Canis lupus familiaris: one gene and its partners. The protein of the gene in region 3 interacts with the protein of the main gene of each other region in a biochemical or structural test. Links are inferred from orthologs where the notes say so. Each region holds a gene or a part of one and is shown on either strand. Other genes may lie near its edges.

Region 1 (3,708 bases), on a different chromosome or scaffold from region 3:
CGGAGATGCTGTGTGAAGTGTGAGGTCTCCCTTCTTTCCCCACCCTCCACCAGCATCCTAGAGCAAACAGATCCCAGGAAACTCAGGATCCCTCAGAGACCCCAGTTCTGTCTGCTTCGCGGGGCCGCCAGGCTAGTGGCCTGAGTTGCACTAATTTCAAACCCAGATTGTCAAAAATAACCCCCCCTTACCCACTTCCTTCCTGTAACATCTAAATAAAGGCCATGGGGATTTCAAGAAGTGGAAGGGGAGTAACAGGAGGGTCGTACTTAGCAATGGGCCGGCCCCCAGAGGCAGAGTCCCTGAGATGACATGTGAGGGGCACCCCCAGATTCAGCCCACCCAGCCCTGCCCCAGGGCAAAAGTTGCTGGTGGGAAGAAGGAAGACATGTGAGGCCCCAGCCTGGGGTCACTTGAAGGGAGTAGGAAGGGAAGCAGATGAAGCAGGCTCCCATTTCCCCATTCCCAGCCTAATGGGAGTTATTAAACCAGCAACGGCTCCCATTTCTTGAGGGATTACTACGTTCCAGACACAGGGACGGGGGCTTATTGAATCCTCACATCAACCACAGGAGAGCCTGCAGTGACAAATGAGGAATCTAAGGGTCAGAGAAGTGAAGTAATTTGTCTGAGATCACACACACAGCCAGTGAGTAGAAGAGCCAGAATTTTAATCTACGGTGTCTGTCCAGGAACCTGCACCCACGGCCCCCCACGGACCCAGGCCAGGTCAGTGAGGACTCTGCCCCTCACTCCTCCTTGCTGACCGCACCCCCCTTGCTGCCTAGCAGGAACAGGGTCTCCTGATCATGAACACGAGGTCCTCCAGTGACCTAGAGATACATGTGCCCCTTTGGAAGACATCACCCATCCCCACACAACCTGGAGGCCAAGCTGGGGTCACTAGCTGGGAAGGGGGAGAAAGAGGAAGGCTAAGCATCCCTGGGGCTATGGATAGAAAAAAGAAAAAATGGAGAGCCACACCGACCCCAGATAGAAGGTGGCAGGGCCCAAGAAGAAATACAGGCTGAGGAAGCCCGTGAGAGACAACAGGAGCGACCAGAGCCTAGGTGTGTGGTGAGCGTCAGTGCACTTTCCCGCTGGCCAGCTGGCAAGTCGCTGGGCCTATTTCCTCATGGGTATTTGGCAGGGTTGGGTGAGATGGTACGTACAGGGAAGTCTCTAAAGAAGCCACCCCTCAGGCACAGGATCAATCAGTGGGGTTAGCTCAAGCTACGCTTCCGCCTTGGATCTGGAACCATCAAGGAGCCCGGATGAGGCCATGAGCAGGCGGAGGCATTTAATGCGTTAACATGTAAATTAGTGCTTCCAGGGCACTGAGTTAGCAGTATTTACTAGCCAGCTACTACTTTTATTTTTATTGAAAAAAAATAAAAGTTGTTTTGTTTTGTTTTTTGTTTTTTGTTTTTTATCTTGCCTCGGTGGCAAGAGACACTTTAAGGAAGAAAGCCCATTTAAAACCTGGGTCTGGGGATCCCTGGGTGGCGCAGCGGTTTGGCGCCTGCCTTTGGCCCAGGGCGCGATCCTGGAGACTCGGGATCGAATCCCACGTCGGGCTCCCGGTGCATGGAGCCTGCTTCTCCCTCTGCCTATGTCTCTGCCTCTCTCTCTCTCTCTCTCTCTCTCTCTCTCTCTGACTATCATAAAATATAAATAAATAATAAATAAATAAAATAAAATCTGGGTCTGGGGGTGCCTGGGTGGCTCAGTCAGTTGAGCATCTGACTTCAGCTCAGGTCCTGATCTCAGGACCTCTCTTTTATTTTTATTACTACTACTCACATCATTATTGTTCTCACCTGCAATGCACAATGATGGGGCCTGCATGAGGCAGACTTTCCTGCCGTTGGTTGATCTGGTCCAGGAAGCTGAGGACACCTCCAGGCTCACTGGGAACCCCATGGTCAGGCCAGCTCAGGTACTGGTAGTGCCAGATCTCCCGAACCAGGTCCTCCTGGGCAGAGCGCATAGGGCCAGTGCCCTCTGTTCCCACACATCTCCCCATCCCACCCAACCAGACAAAACAACAGATCCAAGGAAGGGCCCCAGGAGTGAGGCAGGAGTGGAGAATACTCACATTTTCCAGTGGGGAGACCTGTAAAGTACGGAGTTTGTACTCTGCAGCGTCATGTTCCCTGCAGTTGGTAACTACGTAGGGTCCATACGCACGCTGAGTGCCCACCTCTGGCCAATACGGGACACACTTGTTCTGCAAAGGGAGGGTGGCAGTGAGAAATGAGGCACAGAATGTATGGGGGCATGTTCCAGGCCCCTTTTGAGATCCTGAGTCCCTGGTGCTGGCCCAGTTAACATTTGCTGGATGAATGGAGATGCTGGCCAAGAGTCAGAGGGGGGATCTGGTCCTGCTGGCCACCAGCAGGTGGTGAGGCCTGACTGAGCCACTTGGCCTTACAATTCATTCAGTAAACACCGGCTGGGGCACACAACGTATCTGAAGTTGTACAGACCATGCTGGAGTCCCAAACATAACTACAAAGCAATCTGGGCCTCTATGTCTCTATGTATTCACAGAGAGACAGCAGAGCAGGGAAAACAGAGCCACTCAGGGGCACAGGGTACAGAGGGAGAGGGTAACCCTCCCTCTAGATTATGGAGGAAATCAGAGGTGGCTTCACAGAGGAGGGAGCATTTGAGCAGGGTCTTCAAAAATGAGGAGTCTGTCCAGCAGAGATAGTACAGAGAGAGGAAGTCCTTTCCTAGCAGAAAGCAAGCTTGTGCCAAGGCGTGAGAACCTGAGGCAGGGCGGAACGTTGTAGGGAAGCCACCATGCCTTGAGTGCCAGGTCTTAGAGTGTGACTTTATCCGGAAGACAACTGGGAGCCACCGAAAAATTCCCAGGGAGCCAGGGAGCATCTTGATGCAGTGCATGCTCTAAGAGGGACCCCTCTGACTTCTGTGCAGACATGTGGGAGGAGGGGGCAGCCCACAGGGAGGGAGGCCAGCTGGGCAGTGGGGTGAGGGTGAGGGTGAGGGGCAGACTCCAGAGAGAGTTATGAGGCAGAGAGGACAGGAGGCAGGTTGCTTCTGGCAAGGGACACTTTAAGGAAGAAAGCCCATTTAAAACCTGGGTCTAGGGATCCCTGGGTGGCGCAGCGGTTTGGCGCCTGCCTTTGGCCCAGGGCGCGATCCTGGGGACCCGGGATCGAATCCCACGTCAGGCTCCCGGTGCATGGAGCCTGCTTCTCCCTCTGCCTGTGACTCTGCCTCTCTCTCTCTCTCTCTCTCTCTCTCTCTCTCTCTCTGTGATTATCATAAATAAATAAAAATTTAAAAAAAAAAAAAAGGGATCCCTGGGTGGCGCAGTGGTTTGGCGCCTGCCTTTGGCCCAGGGCACGATCCTGGAGATCCAGGATCGAATCCCACGTCGGGCTCCCAGTGCATGGAGCCTGCTTCTCCCTCTGCCTGTGTCTCTGCCTCTCTCTCTCTGTGACTATCATAAATAATAAATAAAAAAAATAAAAAAATAAAAAAAAATAAAAAAAATAAAACCTGGGTCTGGGGGTGCCTGTGTGGCTCAGTCAGTTGAGCGTCTGACTTCAGCTCAGGTCCTGATCTCAGGATCCTGGGATGGAGCCCCATATCACATGGGGTTCCCTGCTCAGTGGGGTATCTGTTTCTCCCTCTCCTTCTGCACTCCCCCCCCTACACACACACACACACACACTC
Region 2 (3,708 bases), on a different chromosome or scaffold from region 3:
AGTATGTGCCATTATCTGCATTTCACAGATGAGGAAACTGAAGGTCAAAGAGGTATGGGATTTGCCTTGGGAAGTCCTAGAGAAGCTGGGCTCCACGTGTGGATTGGACTAACCCCAAAGCCCTTAGCTAATCTATTCTCAAATACAAACAGGCAGTCTTATAAATACTCTCAAGAGCAGACATTGTTTCTGTTCATATTAATAGTGTGGGTTTGAGTCCAAAACCCCTATGAATGGCTCCAGCGTCATTGCTCTTTGTCCTTCTGTCCACAGTGCTGGGATTGGCCGGACAGGGACGTTCATTGTGATTGATATCCTTATTGACATCATCAGAGAGAAAGGTGGGTCATCTGGAGGGCAAGAAGTTGTAAGTTCTTTTTTAGTTTATGGAAGGAAAGTGCTAGTGAAAATAGCCTGGAGGAGAGAATTTGAATGTTAAAACATTTTTAAAAATCTGGGCTGAAGACTTTGACTTTCAGTTGTTTATAGGAGAACAAAAGTGATTCTATTTGAGCCTTTGACATAAAATGAAGCCCAGGAGCCGTGGTCCCGCTGCTGTGGTCTTTTGTTGAATATGCAGTGGTGGTCTCTGGGGTGGTGCTGATGGAGAGTCCTGACCTCCGATACTTAATCAGATCATTTTCTGGAATCATTTGTATTAGTCAGAAGGCAGTGTAGCCCTTGAAACATGTTCAGTTAGAACATTAAAGACTACATTTAAAAAAAAATTAAAAAAAAAAAAAAAAAAGACTACATTTACTATATCTCTGAGTCTGCTAAAAGTTGTGCATTAAACCACTTCATCCTGGCCCCACAGTTTCTCCTAATGCTTCATGGTGCTTGCTTTGCAGGTGTTGACTGCGACATTGATGTTCCCAAAACCATTCAGATGGTGCGGTCTCAGAGGTCAGGGATGGTCCAGACAGAAGCACAGTACCGATTCATTTATATGGCTGTCCAGCATTACATTGAAACACTACAGCGCAGGATTGAGGAAGAGCAGGTACCAATCCTGGAGGGGGCTGGTGTGCATATTTGTACTTTCTTTTCTGGGCAGCTCTGATACACTCTGCTTTTGAGCAGGATGGGCCTCTAAGAGATAGCTGTTACTGTTCAGGAATGAGAAACTCATTCCCAACCAGGAAGGGCCTCTCTGGAAACTATTCCCCACTTCACAACTCTGGTATTTCAGCAGAGGGTAGCTTGGAGATAGCTGCTATCATCCTGGCCTGGCAGATTGGGGAACTGCCACGTGGAAAGGTTAGGATTTTCCCAGACAACATCCCAGGATTCTCACATGGCAAGTTTGGAAATGAAAGCCTTGAAGTTTCCAGCCTGTTCCTGTTTAGATCCAGGCCATCTTTATCCTGATCCCATCTCTTAAACAAATGCTTCACTCTTCATAGCACATAGCAGTTTGAACCATAAACTTGGTTGAGTTGGAAACAGTGAAATTTCAATTTTAATAAGCCATGCATAATGAAGAAGAATGTGGAGTTGGAGCATTTCCATTTGAAGCTATTCATAACAGACACAAAGCTGAGTTAATTAAGAATACGCTGAGATGAGGGAAATGAGGAGACTGCTCCTTTGGGGATCTGGGCATCTCCCCCCCACCCCCCCACCCCCAACTGCTCTGCTGCAGACAGGGGAATGTCTAAACAGCAGTGATATCTGCCTACTTTACCCTGTGTATTGCCTTCCAGAGAACCCGGCTTCTCAGAATGGCACCTGCCAGCGAATTGAGAGACTTCTAGCCTAGCAGAATAGCAGCCACATTATCAAAAGCTTCATTAGCCAAAGTAAGATATCTGTCAGCTTAGTAGGTTCTCAGTTCACATAAAAAGACTAGATTATGGGGTGCCTGGGTGGCTCAGTCGGTTAAGTGTCTGACTCTCGATTTCAGCCCAGGTCATGATCTCAGGGTTGTGAGATTGAGCCTGGCACTGGGCTCCGTGTTCAGTGCAGAGTCTCCCTCTGCTCCTCTCTCTGCTCGTTTGCATTCTCTCTCTCAAATAAATAAGATCTTAAAATCCAAAACACTAGGGGCAGCCTGTGTAGCTCAGCGGTTTAGTGCCGCCTTCAGCCTGGGGCATGATCCTGGAGACCCAGGATCGAGTTCTGCGTCGGACTCCCTGCATGGAGCCTGCTTCTCCCTCTGCCTGTCCTCTCTCTCTCTATGTCTCTCATGAATGAATAAATACAATCTTTAATAAAAAATTCAAAACACTAGATTGTTTTCGTTGTACAAAAACATCTTCAGCAACGGTGTACGTATAGAAATATAAGGTCAAATAATCAACATGGTACCAGTTTTGACCTTCAGTGCTTTAAATCTGATTTGGTGTTATCGTAATTGTTACAAAATATTTAGATGGTTGCTATAGGCTATTTTCTATTTGTCTTCCAATTATACTGAATTTGGGCCAGGAATAAAACATGAAGTTGCCCATATAGAAAGACCTCCTAATAAATACAAAGAGAATGTAGCACACTATTGGTACAAATTCAGGAATATCTTGAAGCATATAATCTTGTTTGGAAAAGCTAGGGGAAAAGCTCTCTTTATTTCATTCAGAAGTTTTGGTATTTATCCTTGTTTTGGCAACTTTAGTAGGGACTTCCCCAGCCTTACAGCACTTGAGATCTTCTGAATTACCGTATATAGTCTCTCTGACCCTAAATCTCAAGATGTAATTTGGATTTAAGAACTCCTTTAAAGATAGCTTTATCGGGCAGCCCTGGTGGCGCAGCGGTTTAGCGCCGCCTGCAGCCCAGGGTGTGATCCTGGAGACCGTGGATCGAGTCCCACGTCGGGCTCTCTGCATGGAGCCTGCTTCTCCCTCTGCCTGTCTCTCTCTCTCTCTCTCTCTCTCTCTCTGTGTCTCTATGAATAAATCAGTAAAATCTTTTTTTTTTTTTAAAGATTTACTTATTTATTCATTCAGAGAGAGCTACCCTAAATCAGTAAAATCTTAAAAAAAAAAGCTTTATCACCCCAGGGTCAGGAGGGGGTAGAAAAAAGCAGAACATATTCCTTGATAATTTAAGTCTTATAGAATATCGAAACTGGATGTCACTGATAATCCTATTTGAAGAGTGCTTCAAATGAATGCATGCATTCATTCGTTCAGCCAGTACTTTTTGGTGCCAATATGTGCCAATATTGTCCTTATTAGCACATTAACTGCTCTTTGGGATCTGAGCCTTCAGAGTTTAAAAAGATGGGTTGGGGGATCCCTGGGTGGTGCAGCGGTTTGGCACCTGCCTTTGGCCCAGGGCGCTATCCTGGAGACCCGGGATCGAGTCCCCCATCGGGCTCCCGGTGCATGGAGCCTGCTTCTCCCTCTGCCTGTGTCTCTGCCTCTCTCTCTCTCTCTCTCTCTCTGTGACTATCATAAATTAAAAAAAAAAAAAAAAAAAAAGATGGGTTGGCTTATTCATTTTTAAAAATGAGATCCTATAACGTGTAGTTCCATTTAATTCCATGTATGAACTTACTACCTGATTTTGTGGTAGAATTAAGAAGTACCTTCTTCTGGTAGAAAGCTTAAGTGGTAGCCTTAAGAACTAGTGAAGCCACCTGAGTTTTAAACTAAGCCAAAGAATGAAACTCATTTAGGATCATTGGTTATTCTTTTAAATACCATCATTTCTACAATTCTGAAGAGTTAAAGACCTTTGGGAATGAAGGAATTTTTGAAAGAG
Region 3 (4,157 bases):
TATATATATACATATATATATAGTATTTCTGGATAAAATGAATTACTGGAAATGAGACAAAGTCCTGAGACATATTTAAAAATTGTTTTCTCTAAAGCTGATTTTTTTCCCAAGCAAGAGAAGAAAAAATAAAAACAGGTCCTTTCCCATTATAATTATTTTAATAAATATCTTAGATCTATACAACAGAATCCTCCCTCCACCCATATCTTTATTCTGTTCACATAGAGCAGTAAATAAGGTGCATTCCTTCTGCTTAAGAAATTAGCATTTCAAAAATATGCCACTTTCCCCTGAACTCCAAGCGTGTCTAATAATGCGAGAAGCAGATTGTCTTCCCTCGTTTCCTTAATTTGTTTCATCTAAAAGCAATTCACTCAACATCTTGTCGCCCTCTGGCAGCTTAGTTTACTTATCCGCACTTAATTTCTCATTTGGACCAAAACAAACTCCTCCAAACTGCTACTGACTGCTAACCGCGAGAGGGGAGACACGCAGTATGTATTTACTTGGGAACAGACAGCCCCACGGACACAGACACAGACACACACAGCCTCACTCACACTCCACACAGTAACTTGGTTTCGTGAAAGCACTGTATTAAAACCAGCTGAACTTTCCCTGCCAGGTGCGGCAGGGGTGGTGGGGGCGGGGGGGGGGGGGTGAGGAGGGGAATAGGGTGAAGAAAGAAGTCCCCAGGGGCATTTACAGTTCCCAGTGGATCACCTTAGCATGCGTGTTGCAATTGTACCAGGGATGCACCGAGAGCTTTTCTTTGTGCGGCCCTTTCATCTGGATCACTCTGTGTTTTGAACAAGTGAGGCTCGCCTTTGTGCCCCTAGAATTTCAAGTGCAGAGTCACACACAGAACAACAATGGCACGCTAATCCCCGCGCTCTACAGGGGCTCACTTGTGGGTCTGACCATTCGCGGGGGGAAGCGAGAAGAGACCAGCGAGGGCGCGAGGCGGTGTCGCCGGAGACGAGGAAGGGGACAGCTGCAGAACTAATTTGGATTGCATTCTTTGCAGAAATTCTGAAAAGGGCTTTTCGGCATAGCTCACCCCTGAGCCACACAGTTAATACCGAGTTGCTGCGCACTCGGAGCCGGGTCCCCCAGCGGCCGAGGCTGCACCGACAGCCCCCAGTGGGCTGCCTCGGACTCGGAGAAATCCCTCTCGCCTAAGTCTGCGTGTCGGTCGCACACGCTTTTGAATGGGTCAATGTGCATAATCGACCCATTGAGGGAAAATACGAAGGGACTCGGAGTGCGGAGGGAGGAGGTAAAAGGCACGTATCTAAGAGGCCGCCTGGAATCCGCGGTCGGGGCTGGTGCGGTTCCGGCGGCGGCTGAGCGCGCGACCCGGTGCGCATGAAGGACTCCCGAGGATCGGGAGGGTGCAAACGGCGAGCACCAACGGCGCACGCTGGTGCCACTCGAAGGTCATTCTGAAAGGCTCGGCGCCTGCGACTTGTTATTTACTAGGCTAGGAGGGAAGGCGGCAGCGGCGGGGGCGGAGCGCGGAAGGCGGCGCGCGGCTCCCGGTGAGGTCAGGGGGACGCCCTCCGGGGGCCCGACGCGGCCCGAGCCCCGCTCCCGGGCGCTCCCGGGGGGCTTCACCCTCCCAGCTGCCTCCCACGCTCCCGCCACCAGCCCGGGGTGGCTCCGGAGATCCCCCCCGCTCTGCAAAAGGCCCCCTTTGGCGGCATCAGACCCACCGGCCTCCGTCCTTTCCCGCCCCGCTTTCATCCCCAGGAAACTCAAGTGTCAAAAACTTTGAGCAGCCTCGCCCTGCAGGTGCCGTGCGTGGCCCTGGCCGCCGCGGACGCCAGCCCACCCCGGGCCTCGGGGGCGGTCGGCCTGGGCCCGTCCAGGTGCCCGGGCTCGCGCCTTCTCGCAGGCGGTGGCGGTGGCGGTGGCGGAGGCGGAGGCGGTGGCGGCGCCGTCGCTCCCGCCTCGGGGTGGACCGGGTCGCGCCCCGGGTCGGCTCGGCAGCCGCGCCGGGCAGTAAACAGCGAAGTTGGAGGGACTCGGGCCAATAGAAGTTGAACTACAGGAAGAACTCTTCCCGGAGCCAAGCCGGGCGACGACGGCAGGGCCGGGCTCCCGCTCAGGGTGTCAAACCCCTTCCCTGCCCCCCCCCTTTTCTTTAGAGAGAGCCCGCGGGCCAGCGAGCTCCGTCGAGTCGGCGGCGCGCAGGCTGGCGGCCGCCCCAGCGGGGAGGGACCCGCGGCCGCACAGGTGCGCCGCCCGCCGGCTCGGGGACAGCCCCTGCGGAGCCCCGCGCGCCGGTGCCAGGCGTTCGCTCTCGGGGCGCCCGCACGGCGGGACCGTCCAACTCGGGAGCCTCGGGAGCCGCGTGTCCCGCGGCCCGCACAACCGGCAGGACCCGCAGAGATCCCGCTTTTAGGCTCCCCCGAAAACGCGGGAGAAAGAAAGAAAGAAAGAAAGAAGGGGGTCGGGGAGAAAGGAAGGGGGGAAAAGGGAGGGGGGACAGGGTCGCAGAGTGACATTTCACGGTAAGTGAAACGCAGGTACACGAAAAAGGCTAAGTTTGGGGACGGACAGACGGAGGGAGGAAGGGAAGCCAAGCCCGAGGAGGAGGAGGCCGGAGGGGCGCGGGGGGCGCGGGGGGCGCGGAGCCCCGGACACCCACCTGACTGGGAGGCGTTGGGCTGGACGGTCCCCGCTGCCAGCAGAAGGCTCACCCAGACCCACGGTCCTGCCGCCAGCTTCATTTTCTGCAAGTCTCAGATCCCGAGCTGACAATTACATGTCCAAATGGCATCTCCCCTGTCGGGCACGCGGAGGAGGGCCCCGAGTCCGGCGCGCCCGGGGCGCGGTGCACCGGCTCCCAGCTGGAGCCGCCGAGGGCGAGTGCGCGTGCGAGTCCGAGTCCGAGTCCGAGTCCGAGTCCGAGTCGGCGGGGCCGGGGCCGGGGTGCGGGGGCGCGGGGAGCCGGGGCCGGGGCCGGGGCCGGGGCCCGAGGAGGGGCGTGCGCGCCGGTGTGCGCGGGGCCGTGCGCCCGAGGGTGTGCGCGTGCCGCTCGGGGCCGGACTGGGCAGCGCTTCCCCCGTGCGAGCCTCCGCGTCCTCGCTCCCTCCTCACTTTCTCGCACTGGTTGGTCAACAATAAAAAGGAAGGGGGGAAAAGGCTTTCCAAAAAAAGTTGATTGCAAAGAGGCGGTAGGTTTCCGGCCTCTCCCCGCAGCCGGGCTATGTTGGGCTCCCTTTTCAGTTTCCTTGCACCTCCAGTCCCAACTGGGAGGGGATGGGAGGACGAGGGCGGGGGGGGGGGGGGGGGCGAGGGGAGGGCGCTTCTCGCTTCTCCCCCGATCCTGTCCTTCTTTTTCCCGTCAGCTTTCCTCACACTTGTCCGGCGGCTGCGGTAATTAAAGCTCCGAGCGTCATTTCCAACGCTCCGCGGTCTCCAGCTGCAGCCCCACCGAGAAATTAATAAGACTCCGGGAGGGGGGAAAAAAAAAAAAAAAAAGGTGGAGGGGGGGCGGATAAAACAAGCCTCCACGCAACCGGGCTGGCTCGGCTCAGCCGCGAGCCCCGCCCCCGCTCTGACCCAACTGGCCCCGCCTTTTTCCCCGCCCCCCACCCCCCAGAGGGGAATCTTATTGGCTCGTACTCTCCCCAAAATCCTCAGTCTCAGGAGTTGGGAAAACACCTGTCTGGGAGCGGGCGCGTGCTGCGGGGGGCGGGGGAGCTGGATTTAAAGGGCTCGCCCGACCCAGCCGACCGACGCCGAGGCCCTAGACAGCGGCTTGCGAGCGCGGAGACCACCGCAGGGTTGCTCACAGATTTTTTTTTTTTTTCTTTTCCTTAAACCAGAAAGTCCCCGTTTTCTCTACTGCCCCACACACAGTGCTCATCCACAGACTGGAGCTGGAAATAGAAGAAAAGAAAACGTTGCTTCGGGCATAAAGCCTTCACCCTTCTCCAACCTCTAATGCTGCTGCACACTCAGAAAGTAGTTAAAAAGGTGGTTCGGGAGCTGGGAGGCTCTGCCGGTTAGGTGGTCCTGGGAACACAATCACCCGTTTTTCCAACTATGCCATCCCTCCCACAATTCCCACCCTGCCGAACTGACGGCATTTATATAGCTACAGCCTTTGCTTTTCAGACCTCGTAAGTCTTTTTTCACCTTTT
Region 4 (3,708 bases), on a different chromosome or scaffold from region 3:
CTGGGGCAGATCCTTTGGGAAGTTTTAGGGACAAGAGGGGACTTGCATAGGTAAAGCTGAGTTTGATAATCCAATTGCCTTCAAAGATCTTCATTAAACATTCACAGTCAGCAAGACACCGGACCACCAAAGCCAGAGGGGCCTGGAACCGCAAGGAGAAATGGGGCAGGGCCAGGAGGGAGGACTGAAGCCGGTCCCCCTTTTCAGGAAGGGTGAGGGCAGCCTGGTGGACAGAGGGAGGGGTGAGAGAGGGAGGGGAGCATCTTACCTGCCGTTGCCATACTTGATGCGGATGTCCCGGCTGCGGTTGAGCTCCTTGCCATCCTTGAACCAGCGGTAGGAGGGCTGAGGATTGCCCGCTGCTGCCTCGCACTTCAGTGACTGCTTCTCACCCACCTGTCCGGTCTGGCTCTTCATCTTCTTCAGCTTGGGCCGGGTGGCTGTGGGGTACAAGGCAGGGAGGTGAGCACAGGGGCAGGGGTGCAGTGCCAAGCACAAGCAGCAGAAAGAAGGCCACTGTCTTCAGGAGGTGGAAGGGTGGCCTGGGGAGCCTACCCTCCTGGTGTCATTTCCCAGTTCAGTTCAATTACTGTTCACAGAGGGTCCGCGGTGGTGTCAATGTAGCTACTACCTATGAAGCTTCCCTCACACTTGCAATGATACTTGGGGCTTTCGATACATTAGCTTAGGAAAAGAAACCCACGAGTTCACTGCAATGATGAAACCCCTTTACAGATGGGGACAACTGAGGCTAAGAATGCAGAAGTCACTTTCTCCAGGTGAACTGGGAATTCAAACCCAGATCCCCTTGACTCAGATGCTCATGATCTAACTCCTGTCCCAGATGCCCAGGCCTAGGCTGGGCCCAGAGGACACAGGAGGACCAAGATGACAGACACAGCTCCTGCCCTTAGGGAGGTCGGTCTGGCAGAAGGGCCGTAACCTGGCATTAGCATCACAGCATGGCCCCTGGAGGCTTGGAGGTGCTGAAACCAGAGGAAGGACCTCAATCCAGATTGGGGGAAGAGCTAACTTAGTCAAGAGCTAAGGGATGCTAAGACCCTAGGAGTGGCAGGAAGGGAGTGAGCCAGGCAGAGTCAGCATTGTGGCTTAGGAGAATCACATGGTCTGGAGAGGTAGGCTGATGTGAATGGGTCAGGTGGAGCAGCCATCTGGAGGACAAGGCCTGGGGCTATACTGGGGGACACAGGCCCCACTAGGGCTCCAGGCAAATGCTAGGCTCAGCAGCTTCTCCCATTTTTCTTTTCTTCTCTTCTTTCTCTTCTCCTCTTCTCTTCTCTTCTCTTCTCTTCTCTTCTCTTCTCTTCTCTTCTCTTCTCTTCTCTTCTCTTCTCTTCTCTCTCTTCTCTCCTCTTCTCCTCTCTCTTCTCTTTTTAAAGATTTTTATTTATTTGTTCATGAAAGACAGAGAGAGAGAGAGAGAGGCAGAGACATGCAGAGGGAGAAGCAGGCTCTTGAGGGGAACCTGATGTGGAACTCGATCCCAGGACCCTGGGATCACGACCTGAGCCAAAGGCAGACACTCAACCATTGAGCCACCCAGGTGGCCCTTCTCCTATTTTTCTTACACAGAATTCTATTTCCACATGCCCAGGTCTCCCATGCTTCATTTCTTTGCTGCCCTCCCCTTGACAACAACAACAAAAAAAAAAAAAAAAAAGGAAAAAGTACTCTGTTCTCAGGAAGGTAAGGGCAAGCCCATGTTTCCTGCTGAGGTATGTAATAATTTCCACTGGGCAGCCCTTTATAGGTTACACAATGCTTTCATGCATGCTCTCGTTTGCTCCCTGAGCTCTGTGAGGCAAGTGTCATTGCCGACATAGATGGGGAAGATGAGACTCAGAGAGGTTAAGAAACTTGACCAAGGTCACATAGCCAGGCAGCCAGGCAGCTACAGAGCAGATCCAAAGCACAGGTATTTGTGTTTGCAACACAATGGGCCTGTAGCAGGCTGGTGTCTGCTTTTACAGCCTGTGTCTCTTTTGGGGGAATGGAGAAAATAACTGAAATTCTTCCATCAGCAGAAGGGAGGGTCTGTTAGGGCCAGGGAATTGTCTCGGGAATGAACGGTCCCGTCTCGGCTGACTCTGGAGGAAGGCAGCCAAGAGGGCCTGGCTATCGCCAGGGCTCCCTCACAGAACCTACCCCTGCATGGCTGCTTAGAAGCAGGCAGTAGATGGGAGAAGGTGCCTGGGGGGAGAGAGCAGAAAGAGAAAGAGCTCCTGAAGCTTCAAAAATGATATTACATAGACTAAAAAAACGACAGTGCTTATGAAATGCTTTGTTCGTTCTAGAAAATTAAAAAATACAGATGTATAAAAGAAAATAAAAATACTCAATTTTACCCAGAAGTAAGATACACACCCATACACGTGCATTGTAAATAAATGGGATCAGCATCAGTAACACATTTCTTTCATTAAATGAAAGAAATGTAAGCCTTTGAGTTTGGCCTTGATTATTAGCAACAGCATTTCCCACACTAATGTCTATGGGACGTGAATATCCAGAGAGATGATAATAAATAGACATTACTTGAGAAAAGGGTTCCATGAACAAACCAATTTGGGGAGCAGGTAGGTCAAGAGAGTTAACGAAGTATCATCACTGACTTTGGTATGATTTCCCAAAAAGGGTCTCACAACTTTTTTTCTCAGAACTCTTATAGAATTGCAAGGAAATAAAGTTAAATGGAATAGCTCTATAACCTAACTGGCGTTGGTCTATCTATCATCTATCTATCTATCTATCTATCTATCTATCTATCTATCTATCATCTATCATTTTATCTATCTATGTATCTATCATCTATCCACACATATTTTAATAATATCTTCACATAATTCAAAATCCAAGAAGTGTAAAAGGCTTTCTGACTTAAAACACAAGTCTCTGGGCAGCCGGGGTGGCTCAGCGGTTTAGCGCCGCCTTCAGCCAGGCTGTGATCCTGGAGACCCGGGATCGAGTCCCACGTCGGGCTCCCTGCATGGAGCCTGCTTCTCCCTCTGCCTGTGTCTCTGCCTGCCTCTCTCTCTGTCTCTCATAAATAAATAAAATCTTAAAAAAAAAAAAAAAACAAAGTCTCCCTCTAACTTCTGACCACAGTCACACAGTTGCCTTTGCAGAAGGCAATCAATTTTATCAGTTGCTTTTATATCATTTCAGAGACATTTTATGCCTAGACAAAAAACTCTAGTATTCACACACATATTTTTAAACATTTTCATGGTTGCATAATATTCCTTTATTGGTGTGCCATAATTGATGTAACCAGTTCCTCTCCTGGAGTATTCAGCATGTTTTCTCCCCACTGCCACCTCATTACAAACAGGCCCAGCTTCATCCAGTACATATATTCAGTGTGCCCAGCTAGGACACACAGTGTTCATCCTTCGCACACATCTAGCATGTACTGCTGGACAGGCAGTGCGGCTCTTGACTCAGACTGCCTAGATTCAAAACCAGGCTTTGCTACTTAGCTTTTTGTCCTCAGGCCGCTGACCTAATCCTTTTGTGCCTCAGTTTCCTCATCTGTGAAATACGGGTAATCATCACAGCTCTGACCTCATGGGATGGCAGCTGTAAGGATTGTCTGAAACAATGCACATAAAGCTTGGCTTGCACAGAGCATTTAACAAAGGTTAGCTATTACTGCTTATTACTATCTACAATAATTTCCTAGGGCAA
Region 5 (4,433 bases), on a different chromosome or scaffold from region 3:
AAGGTTCTCCATGCTTCACATATGCGTCCTGGAACAGGCCCCCTGCCTTCTGCACACAAGTGTTGTTTGTGGCACCCGCTCCTCTACACACGTCATTAGTGCCCAAGACCTGAGATGGCACAGGTAATTGTGTGTGTGTGGGGGGGGGGGGGCGGGGAGGGACATGACAGAGAGGAGAGATGGTGCTGTGAGTGAGGAAAACAAAACGTGTACGGTCTTAGAAATCAGAATTTGCCACTATTTCTACCAAAATTCTTAGCCCCCCCCACCCCGTAAGGCTCCCCTTATCTATTTCCTTTACTTCTCTTGAGTTTCAGAACGTAGTTTGAATTTTTTTTTTTTAAATACGTAGTGGGGGATCCCCGGGTGGCTCAGCGGTTTAGCGCCTGCCTTCGGCCCAGGGCGTGACCCCGGGGTCCTGGGATCGAGTCCTGCATCGGGCTCCCTGCGTGGAGCCTGCTGCTCCCTCTGCCTGTGTGTCTCTGTCTCTCATGAGTGAACAAATAAAACCTTAAAAATAAAATAAAATAAAACACGGAATAGTCATATAGTGATTTCTAGTATGCGACGAAAATCAAACAAATCGATAGCCCTGCCACTCCCCCTCGGCCCCGGGCCCCGGCAGCGCCGCTTCCTAAAGGCGTTATTTTCCACCAGCAGGAAGCAGGGCCCCGGCTCCGCGGCATCTTCCTTGCCGTCTTCCTCGGCGCTGCCCCCTCCCCTGCAGCGTCCCCGCCGCGTTCGCGGAGCCGGGCCCCCCAGCCCTCGGCCCGCCCCTCCGCGGCGCACGCTGACCCGGGGCGGGGCGGGGCGGGGACGGGGCGGGCGCCCCCCCGCGGCCGGTCCCCCGCACCGCGCGCCCCCGCCGCTTCCTTCCCTCGGGCCCAGCAGCGCGGCCGCCCCCGCGCCAGGGCCGCGCCTGCGCACAAGCCGCCCCGGCCCTGCTCCCCGCCCTTCCTCCCGCGGCCGGCTCCTCCTCCGGCGCCCCGCCTTCCTTTCTCTCTCTCTCTCTCTCTCTCCCTCTCTCTCTAGTCGGTTTCCGCGAGCGCTCCAGGTCGGCAGCCGCTCGGCCCGCTTCCCCGCCCCCCGCCCCTTCCTCTCCTCTCCTCTCCTCTCCTCTCCTCTCCTCTCCCCACCCCTCCCGCCTCCAGCCCCGCGGAGGATGCAGCGGCCGCCGCGGCCCGGGCCCCAGCAGCGGCACCGGCGGTGGCTGCGGTGGGGGTGGCCGGAACTGGGGTGGTGAAGCGGCGGCGGCGGCCGAGCGGGCGGCAGCCGCGCCAGCCGCTTCCTCTGTGCTTCCCTTCCTCTCTGGCGCGGCCAGGAAGTTTCTCACTAGTGTGCATGTGTGTGAGTGTGGGTGTGCAGGCTGAAGGTGCGGGTTGGCGTTGGTGCCGGCGGTAGGTTTTTTGCCCACTCGGCTTCCCGTAACCCGGGCCGCTCCGGAGCCTGGGCTGTGGCCCGAGGAGGGGGCGCGGCGGCGGGCTCGGTCCTTTTGTTGTCGTTTCCTCCGCCCGGGGAGCCGCCAGGGGGACGCGCCCGGGTGGGGCGGCTGGGAGCCCGGGCCTGCTGGCCCCCGGGGCTCCCGGGCGAGCGTAGAGCGGAGAGCGGAGCGGGCTTCAACATGATGGCGGCCGAGGGCGGCAGCGAGGAGGGCGGCCCGGGGGCGGCGGGGGCGGCGGGGGGCGGCGCGGCCGCGGGCTCGAGCGCCTGCCCGGCGGCGTGCAGGGTGAGGATGCCCGGCGCGCTGCCCGTGCCAGCCGTCGCCTGCTCCGGGCTGCCGGAGGCCGGCGGGGCCGCGCTGGGCGCCGGGCCGGGGGCGGGAGCCGTGGGGGGAGCCGGACTGTCAGGGGGAGGGGCCGGGGCCGGGGCCGCCGGGGCCGGGGGAGAGCCGGCCCTCGCCAAGGGCACCGCTTCGCTGGCTGCGGACACCTTCGGGGCGGGCGGCGCCTTCCCCCCGCTGCCGCCGCCGCCTCAGCTGCCCGCCCTGGGCGCCGCCGGCCTGGGAACCGTGGACGAAGGGGACTCCCTGGATGGACCCGAATACGAGGAGGAAGAGGTGGCCATCCCCCTGACCGCGCCTCCGACTAACCAGTAAGTGCACGCAGCCGTCCCGGGCCCGGGGACGCCGGCTCCTGGGCACAAGTGCGAACCCCTGGGACCTGCAGCTTTTCTTGCAGTTGCGATCCGTTGGTGAAAAAGTTTGGAGCCTTCGGGGTTGGCGTGCGTCGGGACTTGATTGGATCGCTCCTCTTCCCTGAGGGCGTGCACGCTGCCTTCGGCGTCTTTTGCATCTTTCTGGTTAGACCCTGGGAAGAAGTGAAGTTTTTGAGCTAGGAAAGCATGGAGAGTGGGGGGGGAGGGGGGGGAGGGGGGGCATGTGTATCCATCGGGAACCGGATACGGTGCTGCCTTTTCCAAGCCGAGGTTGCGTCCCCGGGGCTCAGCTGAGCTTGCAGCTGCCCGGGCCGTAGAGTCTCTCTCAGCCTGTGCGTGCATTCCCTGTTGAAGTCAGGTTATCCTTAGTCATAAGGCTTTGGGTATGCAAGTATTCCAAGGAGTATGGTATTGATGACCATTTTAAACATGCACCGGTCAGAAGGCTTTGCCTTTGTGGTGCTGTGCATCCCCAGCCTTTCGGAGGCAGAGCGATGCAGAAAAGTCTTCGGGTCTCTCCTGAAGATGTGGGTCGGCGAGAAAGGAAAGGAGTTCTGCGAATTACAGGTGTGGTGAAGGGTCTCTCTCCTCTTACGGGGTCTGTGACGTAGGCCGTGAAATTCCCATTTATTGATAACAGCCTGATCTTTTTATAGTTGAGGCTTTGTAAGCACAGTTCTCAAGTAAAATTGTCAATACTTCAATACTTTGTTGGTGGCCAGTGCAGTGTTCCATTTGGCAATCAGTTGCGACGGTATATTGCAGGGCATTTAGGGCAAATGGCTTTTTTCACACGGTGAGTACCTTCCCCTTGTTCCCTCCATAAGTGAACATAGGTGTGTGTTTGTAAAGGTGGACCTTGATGAGAGGAGAGTGTTACTGGGAAGGGGTAATAGATGGCAAAACCGTTCTTACGGATCCTTCACATCAGTTATTATCTGACCTTTAGAATTTCGACAGCCTTGGTGTATCAGAGGAAAAAATATTTGGTTCATATGATGACATTCACTCTGGACAATTGAAAGTATTTGTTTGTTTTGGATAAGCTTTGGAGGATTTAGAAAGGACTTAGAAAATGATTAGAAAAAGATTCTGTGATAATCCATTCTTAACCTAGGGCTACATCTTTTGATATTTAAGGGGGAAAGGTAAAAGTAGCCTGATTTGTGTCAGCCGTGGTATACTGCTCAGTAAGAGTTTAATTTTTTTGTCTAACTTTATTCCAACTTACCATGTTATGTGTTTGTTTTATAGACCTCTGAAGGTGTTCTGGGAGTGTGAAAAATTTGAATTTTACAGCACTGTTTACACACCTTCAAGCCTTTTTGAAAGAATCAGTAAATATTTAAGCGCTCACTACATCACTCCATGCTCAGCACTAGGGTTATAATAAAGTGCAACTTTTCATACTGAAAGAAGGCAGTCTTTTGCCAGTGTTTGTAACTGAGTTATATTAGGCATATTTGTATATTGTAGTTATAAATTTTTTTAAAAAAGTGATTTTGTGGAATGGTTTTAGGTTCACAGCAAAACTGGGCAGAAAATATAGTGTTCCCATTAGATTTTTCAGGATAAACATGAAGGAGTATTTGGAAAAATTTTTAGAAGTCTATTGTGTGAGGTTTCCATCATCATTAATATATATTTGGGAATAAAAATAATACTTGCATGACTGTATATATGAGAATCGTAAATGTTCTGAAAAGTATCCTCCATTTCAAGTATGTTTTTTAAATTTGTCACTGAGGAGTACAAATTACCCTCTTTTCTTTATCTTAGATATCAAACCAGAGTCACTGGAGGCAATACAGTGTAGTGTTTAAGGGTGCAAATTCTGAAGTTAGACAAGATTTGGGTTGGAATCCTGACTCTACCACTTATAACTGTGTGATCTTGGAAAGGTCAGTTTCCCCATCTGTAGAATGGGGATAATAATGGTACCTCCGTCATAGCATCGTTTTTAAGATTTAATGAGAACCCTGAAGTATTCAGTCAGCACAGTGCTTGGCACATAGTAAGTGTTCAGTAAATAGTATGCCAAAGTAACAGTAATATTTTATTGCCATTAAATTGCCTACTGATTCTATTGGTACAGGGAACTCCCTCACTGATAGTTACTTTAGGCAATGGTTCGTACTCCAGAGGTCTAGCTACCATGGTTAGCTATATTAAGAATTATGACTTCATAAAGGTTTCCATCAGGTTAAGTAGGTTTAGAGATGAAGTTCAGATCTTTTCTATGAATTCCTTTTTTTAATTTTTTTTTATTTTTATTTATT
Region 6 (3,708 bases), on a different chromosome or scaffold from region 3:
GCTGGCTGTTCTCACATGATACTGAGCGATGCCAGCCTGGAGATGGTGTCGTGCAGGTAAAATGACACTCTTCTCCTTTCTCTTTGTGCAGCTATTCTGAGGTCTGTTGTTGCCCCGTGTTGCTGAAGCTTCTGAAGTGGATTCCCACACTCTCCTAGAGCTGTCTCCTTCAAGAATGGCTGTCTAATTGTTGATCTTTCGGTGGGATGGAGGCCAAGGTCTCCTACCTCACTATCTTGATCCAGATCTTTTGGCTTGTTATTTTTTAGTGTCTTCAATATTCTCTTTCTCTTCTTCATTAGTTTTCAGAGATTTACTGGTTTAGTTTTCAACAGTGTGCTGCTGAATATCTATGGCAGTTTGAAATACTGGCCCTCATGTTAACCTTTGTCCTTACCAGGGGTGGGCCTGTCCTTTCCCCTCCCTTGCATCTTGGCTGGGCTGTGGATGCTCTGACCTGTGTAGCATGAGGTGGGTGTGACTCTGAACCAATTCATGGGTCCAGCCTTAGGAGCCTGGTGGCCTCACTTCCTGCCTCTTGAGTAACTGACTCTCAGGACCACCCACGGTCGCTGCCATGCTGGGAGGAAGCCAAGGCAGCATGGACAGGCCATGTGCTGGTGAGCTAGTAATGGATGGGTCCACCCCAGCGGAGGTCCCAGGCCTCAGCCCAGGTGAGATCAGGCTCTAGCTGTGTGAGTGAGCAGAGCGGGTATGAATCTTTCCACCCTCCTGGGACGGCCCCTGAGACACTGTGTGCAGCAGAGATGCGCCCTCCCACCAAGCCACACCCAAACTGCAGAACTATGGATAAATTAACACTTGGTATTGTGTTCAGGCACTAAGTTTGGGGATGATTTGTTATCTCCACTTCTCTATGTCCTCTGTGAGTCTTTGTTTCAGTGCCTAGATTTTCTTCTCTCTTTAATTATCATGATGAAAGTTTCCAAAGTGCCCCCTGATGGAAAACCTACTTCTCTCTGGCATGTGCTTGTGGCTGTCACTCTGCTGGTTCCTTTGTTCCAGTTCCCAGCCGTCTCTGCAAATGGCTCACTCGGTGCTTTTTCTAACCCTGGCTCATCACTGAAGGGGCTGTGCTCTGGGACCAGCTTCTTTATGGACAATGGAGTACTTCCAGACAGCTCTGCTCCTGTCTGACCTTCATGCTGACCCCAAGCTGAGGTCTGCTGTCCTCATCTGCCGTATGCATGGTGGCCCTCTCAGAGAGAAGCCAGTAGTTGGGGAGTGGGGGTACCAGGAACTCCACAATGTGGAGCTCAGGTCAATCCCACCCCCCATCCTGCCATTCACAAGTGAGACTTCAAGGTGTGCCATCAATTCCTGAGGATGTTGGACATTCCCAGGGACCTAGAGAGCTGGAAATCTGTCCTTGGCTCCCTCTTCCACTTTCTAGGTTCCATTCCCATTACATTTTCCAGTTGATCCACATAGACTCACATACACTGTAACTGAGTTCATATGGGGCTTTCTTAAGTTTTTGCCTTCCTTTAGTTACTATCAGTTCATTTATGGGGTCAGGGAGGAGCTCTGAGATATCCTACAAGAATCAACTTGTTCAACCCATTTTTCCAAAGTAATTTAAGGAAGGAATTCTATTCTTGTTTTTTTTTTTAATGAATTATCAATTAATACCTTGATTTTTTTTGTTCCCAGAAATATAGTTTGAAAGCTAATATTCTGAGTGAACTCAGTTCATGATATTTTAGAGTATTACCATTTTTAAAAACAATATAATCAAAGCTTAACAAGAATATTTTTTACATATTTTTCATAGATAAATTGCTTCTTGAGACCCTTTCCATAATCAAATAAAGAACACAAACACTTGCATTTCAGATTCTCACCACCTGCTGCTTGGCATACTGGCTAAGTTATTCCTACCTTGTAGTAGTTTTCATCAGCACGGAGTGCTTTGGAAAGTCCGAAATCACTAATCTTGGCATAATGTTGAGTAACCAGCAATACATTTCTTGCAGCCAGATCTCTGTGCACAAAATTGCTCTCCTCCAGATATTTCATTCCCATAGAAACCTGATGAACCAGCTCTATAATGTTCTTATCCTTGACGTGCCTGAAAGTTACAGATGTGTCATTAGTGGTGGTGAACAGTACTCCATTTGGGACCAACCAATCATGCTCCTTGTGTAGGCAGAGGGATCCACTCATTTCCTATTCTTCTTAAGAGTAACAAGTGGTGACAAACAACCTTGTTGACTTACAGCTGCTCAAAACCAAGCACCATTAACCTGGTATTCAACTGGTACGATTTTCGAGGTGTGCTTTGAGTTACATGAAAAGTAGTGTAATGGAACGGACAGACCTGACTCACAGACAGCTAGGATTTGGCTGGAATCCTCGTTTCAATATCGGACTGATAACAAAACCAGCTCTGAGTCTCAGTTTCTTATGTGTGAAGTGGGACTAATGGCACCTCTCTTCTGTGCAGATTAGACACACAATCTAAGTAGAGTACACACGTGATGTATCAAATTGGACAAAGTAACCAGTGGTTATTATTGTGACTTATTCCATGTGAGTTCCTTCATCTCAACAGTGGCCATAGATGAGCACAGCGTGAATATCCTACCAATGGTTGTAATCCATTAATAGCATCAGATTATTTTTGGAATTACTCATGGGAATGTAGAGGTAGAGGTCAGCCAGATGAGTAAGACGTCACTAGTTACCCCTTTCAAAATGTTTATTTTAATATTTCTCTCACTAAGGTGGGCATGATCTGCCTAGTGAGGGGAGACTGATTACCGAGATATTCTAAGGCTGATTCTATCACCAGGCAATACAGAGTGAGCAAGGGAGAATGAAGACTAAATTGTGGGATTAGAGTCTTCCTTAGCACAATAAGGGTTAAAAGAGTATCTGATCCAAAGACTACGACTCTCTTCCATCCACCCTTAAGGTCACTGAGTTTGGGCCAACACAAGGAAGGCAAGGGGGGAGAGAGAGCCTCCCACAGAAATTAAAGCTATTACGTACACTGGGCAGGAGGGCTCTGCCCTATCACAGTATCAGCTTCTGGGGGACTTAAAGATACCTGTTCTGCTGTAAATATTTATTGAGTGGACCCAGTTCTGCCATTTCCATGACCAGCATCCAGGACTCGGCTTCACAGATCCCAATCATGCGCACGATGTAAGGGTTGTCAAGCTGCTGCATAACGTTCGCTTCTGCTAACAACTCATCTTTAAGAGCAGGGTCATTAGCCTCATTCTTCAGAATCTTCACAGCCACTGTTTTCACGACTCTGCATAAGAAATCATAACCCTCATAAGAAAATTTTCAAAGCAGCTAAGTTCCAGGTAATTACAAAGCATAAATGCTGTGGTAGAAATGATGTAATGGAGATACCTGCAACTGTGTTCTCTCTTCTTATAGACAAAGAGAGAATCCTGCATTGATTTACAAATAATGAGGGGGTGCTGAAGAATGTCCCAACCAAGCAGAGCCTCAATATTGCAAGATATGTAAATGACTTTCAAATAAACCTCACAAACTGTGACATGCATGGATTCCTGCAGCATCTTCAGATGTACCATCTCAGATTAACTGTAATGTAAGTGAATATAACATTCCTTTGATATATGTTAAAAATTAATTTCCAGATGCAGAGTTTAAAAAGCATATGTTGTTAGAGCTCAAAATTTACAAAACACTTTTTAAAACTGAGCA
Region 7 (4,214 bases), on a different chromosome or scaffold from region 3:
AATAAATAAAAATAAATCTTAAAAAAAATTTAATCTAGGTACTATTATTATTAGGTGCTCTTATCCCCATTTTACCAATGGAGAATACAAGGCATAAAAAGGTTAAATAACTTGCCTAGGGTCACAAAAATAAACAGTTAAGCCAGTTTTCAAACCCACACACAATGGCCCTTAATATTCCAAAACAATCTCTATTCTTTCATCTTCTATACTGAATCACGAAGTCCTTTAAGTTCTACAAGGACAGGGTCTCTTATGTTTAAAGCAATATTCCCAAAGCTCAGTTACATAATAGGTACTCAAAAAACTTCTGTTTATTGGATGAATGAAATATCTCTCGAACTTTCCTGTCCTATTTCCTTTGCCTCCATTTAAAGCCAGTCTTTCAGCATTTCATACTTGGGTTTGTTAATATATTCTATGAATTAGCCAATCAGGTAAACTGATATAAAATCCTCTGCCACATTTTCCATCACCCATGCCCAGTTAAACATATCTAAAGCTTTCTTGGCACTGCTTCAATTAGAATAATAAAATCTTAAGAGTCAGAAAGTACCTTTGGGATCAACCAGTCCAGTATTTTGCAGATAAACCCAAAGATGGCAAGTAACTAAATCTCGCAGCCAAGTAGAGCTAGGACCAGAACTTGATTCTTGCAATTTTTCCTCTAGGATTCACTCCTGGAGGACTTGCTTCACTCCCAACAGATGTCTCCTCACTATCCCATCAGCAAATCATGTTAATTCCCATTGTTCATGCTCAAGTTGTTTCTCCTGCCCAGCCTGCCTTCTTTTCCTTTTTCAAGAGATTCGAAACCTATCCACCCTTCAAAATCTCTTCTTATTCCATTCTTCATGATATTCCTCCTTCTCTGAAAAGTCTGTCTTCAGTAAGATCCTGGAGGAAGAGAATCACTGTCGCCTACTGGGCCAAGTTTGATGTACACTAGCACTTCCCACAAAACTAGGCTAACTTGGATGATCTTCCTTGAAAACTTATTATCCATTCTTTCCTCCAGTGCTTTAAAAAGTGATTTTAATAAAGACTAACTCACATATAGCACCTTCATAAAATGTTCATATATCTGGAAGAGAAGCTCACTCACATCTTTAATAGTACACATGTAACACCTGAAAGGCCCCAAATCACTTATCTTCTCCATTTAGAAACAACTCAGCATATTCACAAAGTCCAAACCCAGAGCTCTCGGATACAACTCAGCCAAAAGCCACAGTTCCTTGGGTTCATCTCTTTCTTTGCACACTACCATCTATCATCACTTCCTCCAAAACTCCATTTCTAACAAATAATTCACACTTCTTTTTCTTCCTCTTCTTCTGTACATTGTGTATTATAGAACCATGTCTCTTTTATCCTTTATTACTTAGTGAAAACTCCAGTTTGCTACCACTCATCCAACCTCAACTACCCAGTCCTCTTTTATATATTAAGTCACATCTACCCCTTCAGCCTGAAGTCTCATGGTATTCCAACCCCATGAAGGTCAATTTTCTTTTTCCCCCTTCTCCACTCTTCCTTCCTCTAGAAAAGTGGTCTCAAAAGTGGTGTGGGTGCAGCTCAGATAGTGCAAAAGGATCCACTGGGCTGCAGGGAAAAAAAAATAAATTAGAACTCTCATTACTTATTTTTTTCATCTTACCCTTTCTTAAATTCTATTTGTGTGCATTCATAAGTTACATAACGTACTGGTACAGCAGAACAAGTACATATATAATTAACAGATAACGAATTCTTGGAGTACGTGCTCTTTTACTGATAAAAGGGTATGATCAAAAGAGTTCGGAGACAATCATTCTAAAAATACCTCGATAATAAGACCAAAGTAATAGGTTCCAGACTGCAGAGGATTTATGTACACATGCACAGACTGCAGGAAGAAAACTCTTGTTCATATCCAAAGTCCTAACCATGCCCACCAACCTCTAACCCCTGCCAGCTTCTCAGAATTGAGTCCTACCCAAGAGCTCAGAACATAGGACAGCCTGGCAAAGCCTTTCATTTCCAGTTTGGGGGGGGGGGGGGGGGGGGGGGGAAGGGGGGTGGAATCTCAAAAGCGCTGAGATACTACCTTTATCTTTGCCATATTAGAGTATTTCTGGTCACTGCTCTCTCTTCTGACACTGCTCATAGTCTGACTTTATATGTGTGTATACTTTATACGCCAGTAGCTCCTGAGATGCGGTTCCTATTTCCAAATCCCTGGAGGCACAACCCCATTCCCTTCGCAGACGACCGGGTTACACGAACACCTACTGGACTGAGCTCACACCTCCCAGCATCCTTGCCTCCCCTGGCGATACTATCCTCCGGCCTCCCCGAGCCACACAGTCTGTCCCAGGGGAGAGGACAGTCCCTCCACCGTCCCTGAGCCCACTGCTCTTTCCTTCTCCGCCCCCGGGAGCTGCCAGCCAGGCTGGAGGCGGGCGGGGGGAGGGGTGTGACTCGACTCCCGTGACTGGCCCAGATGGCAGCGGATTCCGCCCCCACTCTCAGGCACCCCGCCACCCCCCGACCCCCCAGGGCCGCCTGTCTCCTCCCCACCCCGCCCCAACCCCACCCCCGGCCTCCCCGCGCCCTCACGCCGCTCCCACACACACTCACCGTGCTGGGTGAAGATATTGAAGCCGGCCTCCGCGGTGCGCCCCGCCAGGTCCCGCCTGCGGCCGGAGGGCCTGGCCACACTGCCGACCCGGATGCCGCGGGGCTGCGGCTGCTGAAGCCCCGGAGCCTCCCCGACGCGGCCCACCTGCTGCCCCATCCCTGCGCTCGCGTACTCCCGCGCCCCCCGCCGACCCCAGGTCACATTCCTCCTCGGCTCCGGCCTCGGGCTCCCGGCGCTGCTCCGGCCTCTCCTTCCCAGTCCAGGCCCCGGCCCCGAGCGCTCGGGCCGCCGGCGGCTCCGCACGCGGACTCCTCGCAGCAGCCGCCGCGCTGCCTCTGGGCGACTCACAGACTCTCCCCCCGCCTCCTCCTCCCGCGGCTCCGCGCCCCCAACGCCGCCGCCGCCGCCGCCGCCATCTTTAAACCACCGAGCGCTGGGAGAGCGTGGGACAGAGCGTCTCCCGCCCCGCCCCGCCCCCCCTCCCGGCCAGTCACCTCCGCTTCTCCGAGGGAGGAATTCCCGGAGGCCCCGCCCCCGGCCCCGCCCCCGGCCCCGCCTCCTCGCCGGGGGGTCCCCCTCGCGCCCACCTCGTCCGCGCGGCCTCCTCCACGCCTTCGGGTCTTTCGGGTCCTCCCGCCCTTCGCGCCCCCCGGGCCTGCGGGGTCTGGATTCGTCTCCGCCGACCCCTCCCACGTCCGGCTCTCCGTGCTGCCGCCTTTCGGAGGTGCACGGTCGAAAGCCTTCCCGGTCCCACCTCCACCTGTCAAGTCCATCAGGCGCGCGCGGAGCGCCCCAGGTGCACAGCAGGCACAGTTGGGACAGGAAAGCGCAAGGCGTTTGCTGCTTGCCATCCAGGTGAGCATCCCTGAAACGCCCGGGAGGATCCTTTTCAACACCGTTCTCAGCAGGCCTAGTCTAAGATTATACAAAATGTACATGAGGGTCGTACAAAAAAGGTACGTTATTTCATTGCAATTTTTTGAGACCCTTTCATGATGTTAAATTGTCCTCGCCTCCGTTGTCTGCACTCTGCAGCCTCATTGGAGAGACACTTACGGCCCCATTCCTCGTATTACCATGAATTCCTTTTGAACTCCTTTACCGTCTAACCACGTGTTGTTACCCTTACAGTGCTCGACAGTAAAGCTGATGGTGCCACTGGTGTGCTTTATATACCGTGCCCGTGGTCTGGTCTTCCTTTGATGACAAAGGAGAAAAAGAAAATTTCTCTTTGACCCTGAACTTACTCATCATTAATTTATTTTGTCCCAAGAGAGTGACTCAAGCAGCAGTGTTTGGATACATGCAAACACATGTGTATGTACAAATATTCACAAATCATTGTCCCACTGCACACGCTTGCATCTTAATATTGATCCAGTTTTTTAAATTCTCAAGGAACTTGGTAACTATCTTCTTACTCTTCCTTTCACTTCCTTATTTACTTAATACAAAGTATCTGTTATTACAGGTTCCACACAGAAAATATGCTTAAAGTTAAAGCAGACAGGATAGGAGACATTTCAAAGAAGCAACAAAACATTCACTAGGAAGGTAGGTTTAGGGGGGAAAGGCGGATGCGGCTCTCCTT

What was found.
Region 1: the proteins of ERBB4 (region 3) and PTPN6 form a complex in vitro, tested with the Homo sapiens proteins (2 studies listed by BioGRID, with this or other methods). The link is inferred for Canis lupus familiaris from reciprocal best matches to the Homo sapiens genes ERBB4 and PTPN6.
Region 2: the proteins of ERBB4 (region 3) and PTPN11 form a complex in vitro, tested with the Homo sapiens proteins (2 studies listed by BioGRID, with this or other methods). The link is inferred for Canis lupus familiaris from reciprocal best matches to the Homo sapiens genes ERBB4 and PTPN11.
Region 4: the proteins of ERBB4 (region 3) and NRG2 form a complex in vitro, tested with the Homo sapiens proteins (2 studies listed by BioGRID). The link is inferred for Canis lupus familiaris from reciprocal best matches to the Homo sapiens genes ERBB4 and NRG2.
Region 5: the proteins of ERBB4 (region 3) and RASA1 form a complex in vitro, tested with the Homo sapiens proteins (2 studies listed by BioGRID and IntAct, with this or other methods). The link is inferred for Canis lupus familiaris from reciprocal best matches to the Homo sapiens genes ERBB4 and RASA1.
Region 6: the proteins of ERBB4 (region 3) and SYK form a complex in vitro, tested with the Homo sapiens proteins (2 studies listed by BioGRID and IntAct, with this or other methods). The link is inferred for Canis lupus familiaris from reciprocal best matches to the Homo sapiens genes ERBB4 and SYK.
Region 7: the proteins of ERBB4 (region 3) and ABL2 form a complex in vitro, tested with the Homo sapiens proteins (2 studies listed by BioGRID and IntAct, with this or other methods). The link is inferred for Canis lupus familiaris from reciprocal best matches to the Homo sapiens genes ERBB4 and ABL2.

The regions. Positions count from the first base shown.
Region 1 is NC_049248.1:8,004,815-8,008,522, reverse strand, and holds part of PTPN6 (tyrosine-protein phosphatase non-receptor type 6), read right to left. Parts: intron 2,231-3,708; coding exon 2,099-2,230; intron 1,976-2,098; coding exon 1,821-1,975; intron 1-1,820. UniProt on the Homo sapiens protein: Tyrosine phosphatase enzyme that plays important roles in controlling immune signaling pathways and fundamental physiological processes such as hematopoiesis.
Region 2 is NC_049247.1:10,377,028-10,380,735, forward strand, and holds part of PTPN11 (tyrosine-protein phosphatase non-receptor type 11), read left to right. Parts: intron 1-273; coding exon 274-341; intron 342-851; coding exon 852-1,003; intron 1,004-3,708. UniProt on the Homo sapiens protein: Acts downstream of various receptor and cytoplasmic protein tyrosine kinases to participate in the signal transduction from the cell surface to the nucleus. Positively regulates MAPK signal transduction pathway. Dephosphorylates GAB1, ARHGAP35 and EGFR.
Region 3 is NC_049258.1:19,996,365-20,000,521, forward strand, and holds the start of ERBB4 (receptor tyrosine-protein kinase erbB-4), read right to left. Parts: upstream 2,899-4,157; 5' UTR 2,739-2,898; coding exon 2,657-2,738; intron 1-2,656. UniProt on the Homo sapiens protein: Tyrosine-protein kinase that plays an essential role as cell surface receptor for neuregulins and EGF family members and regulates development of the heart, the central nervous system and the mammary gland, gene transcription, cell proliferation, differentiation, migration and apoptosis.
Region 4 is NC_049223.1:34,247,806-34,251,513, forward strand, and holds part of NRG2 (pro-neuregulin-2, membrane-bound isoform), read right to left. Parts: intron 441-3,708; coding exon 269-440; intron 1-268. UniProt on the Homo sapiens protein: Direct ligand for ERBB3 and ERBB4 tyrosine kinase receptors. Concomitantly recruits ERBB1 and ERBB2 coreceptors, resulting in ligand-stimulated tyrosine phosphorylation and activation of the ERBB receptors.
Region 5 is NC_049224.1:21,307,738-21,312,170, reverse strand, and holds the start of RASA1 (ras GTPase-activating protein 1), read left to right. Parts: upstream 1-1,621; coding exon 1,622-2,091; intron 2,092-4,433. UniProt on the Homo sapiens protein: Inhibitory regulator of the Ras-cyclic AMP pathway. Stimulates the GTPase of normal but not oncogenic Ras p21; this stimulation may be further increased in the presence of NCK1.
Region 6 is NC_049222.1:96,632,678-96,636,385, forward strand, and holds part of SYK (tyrosine-protein kinase SYK), read right to left. Parts: intron 3,284-3,708; coding exon 3,074-3,283; intron 2,093-3,073; coding exon 1,903-2,092; intron 1-1,902. UniProt on the Homo sapiens protein: Non-receptor tyrosine kinase which mediates signal transduction downstream of a variety of transmembrane receptors including classical immunoreceptors like the B-cell receptor (BCR).
Region 7 is NC_049228.1:20,505,202-20,509,415, reverse strand, and holds the start of ABL2 (tyrosine-protein kinase ABL2), read right to left. Parts: upstream 3,000-4,214; 5' UTR 2,780-2,999; coding exon 2,623-2,779; intron 1-2,622. UniProt on the Homo sapiens protein: Non-receptor tyrosine-protein kinase that plays an ABL1-overlapping role in key processes linked to cell growth and survival such as cytoskeleton remodeling in response to extracellular stimuli, cell motility and adhesion and receptor endocytosis.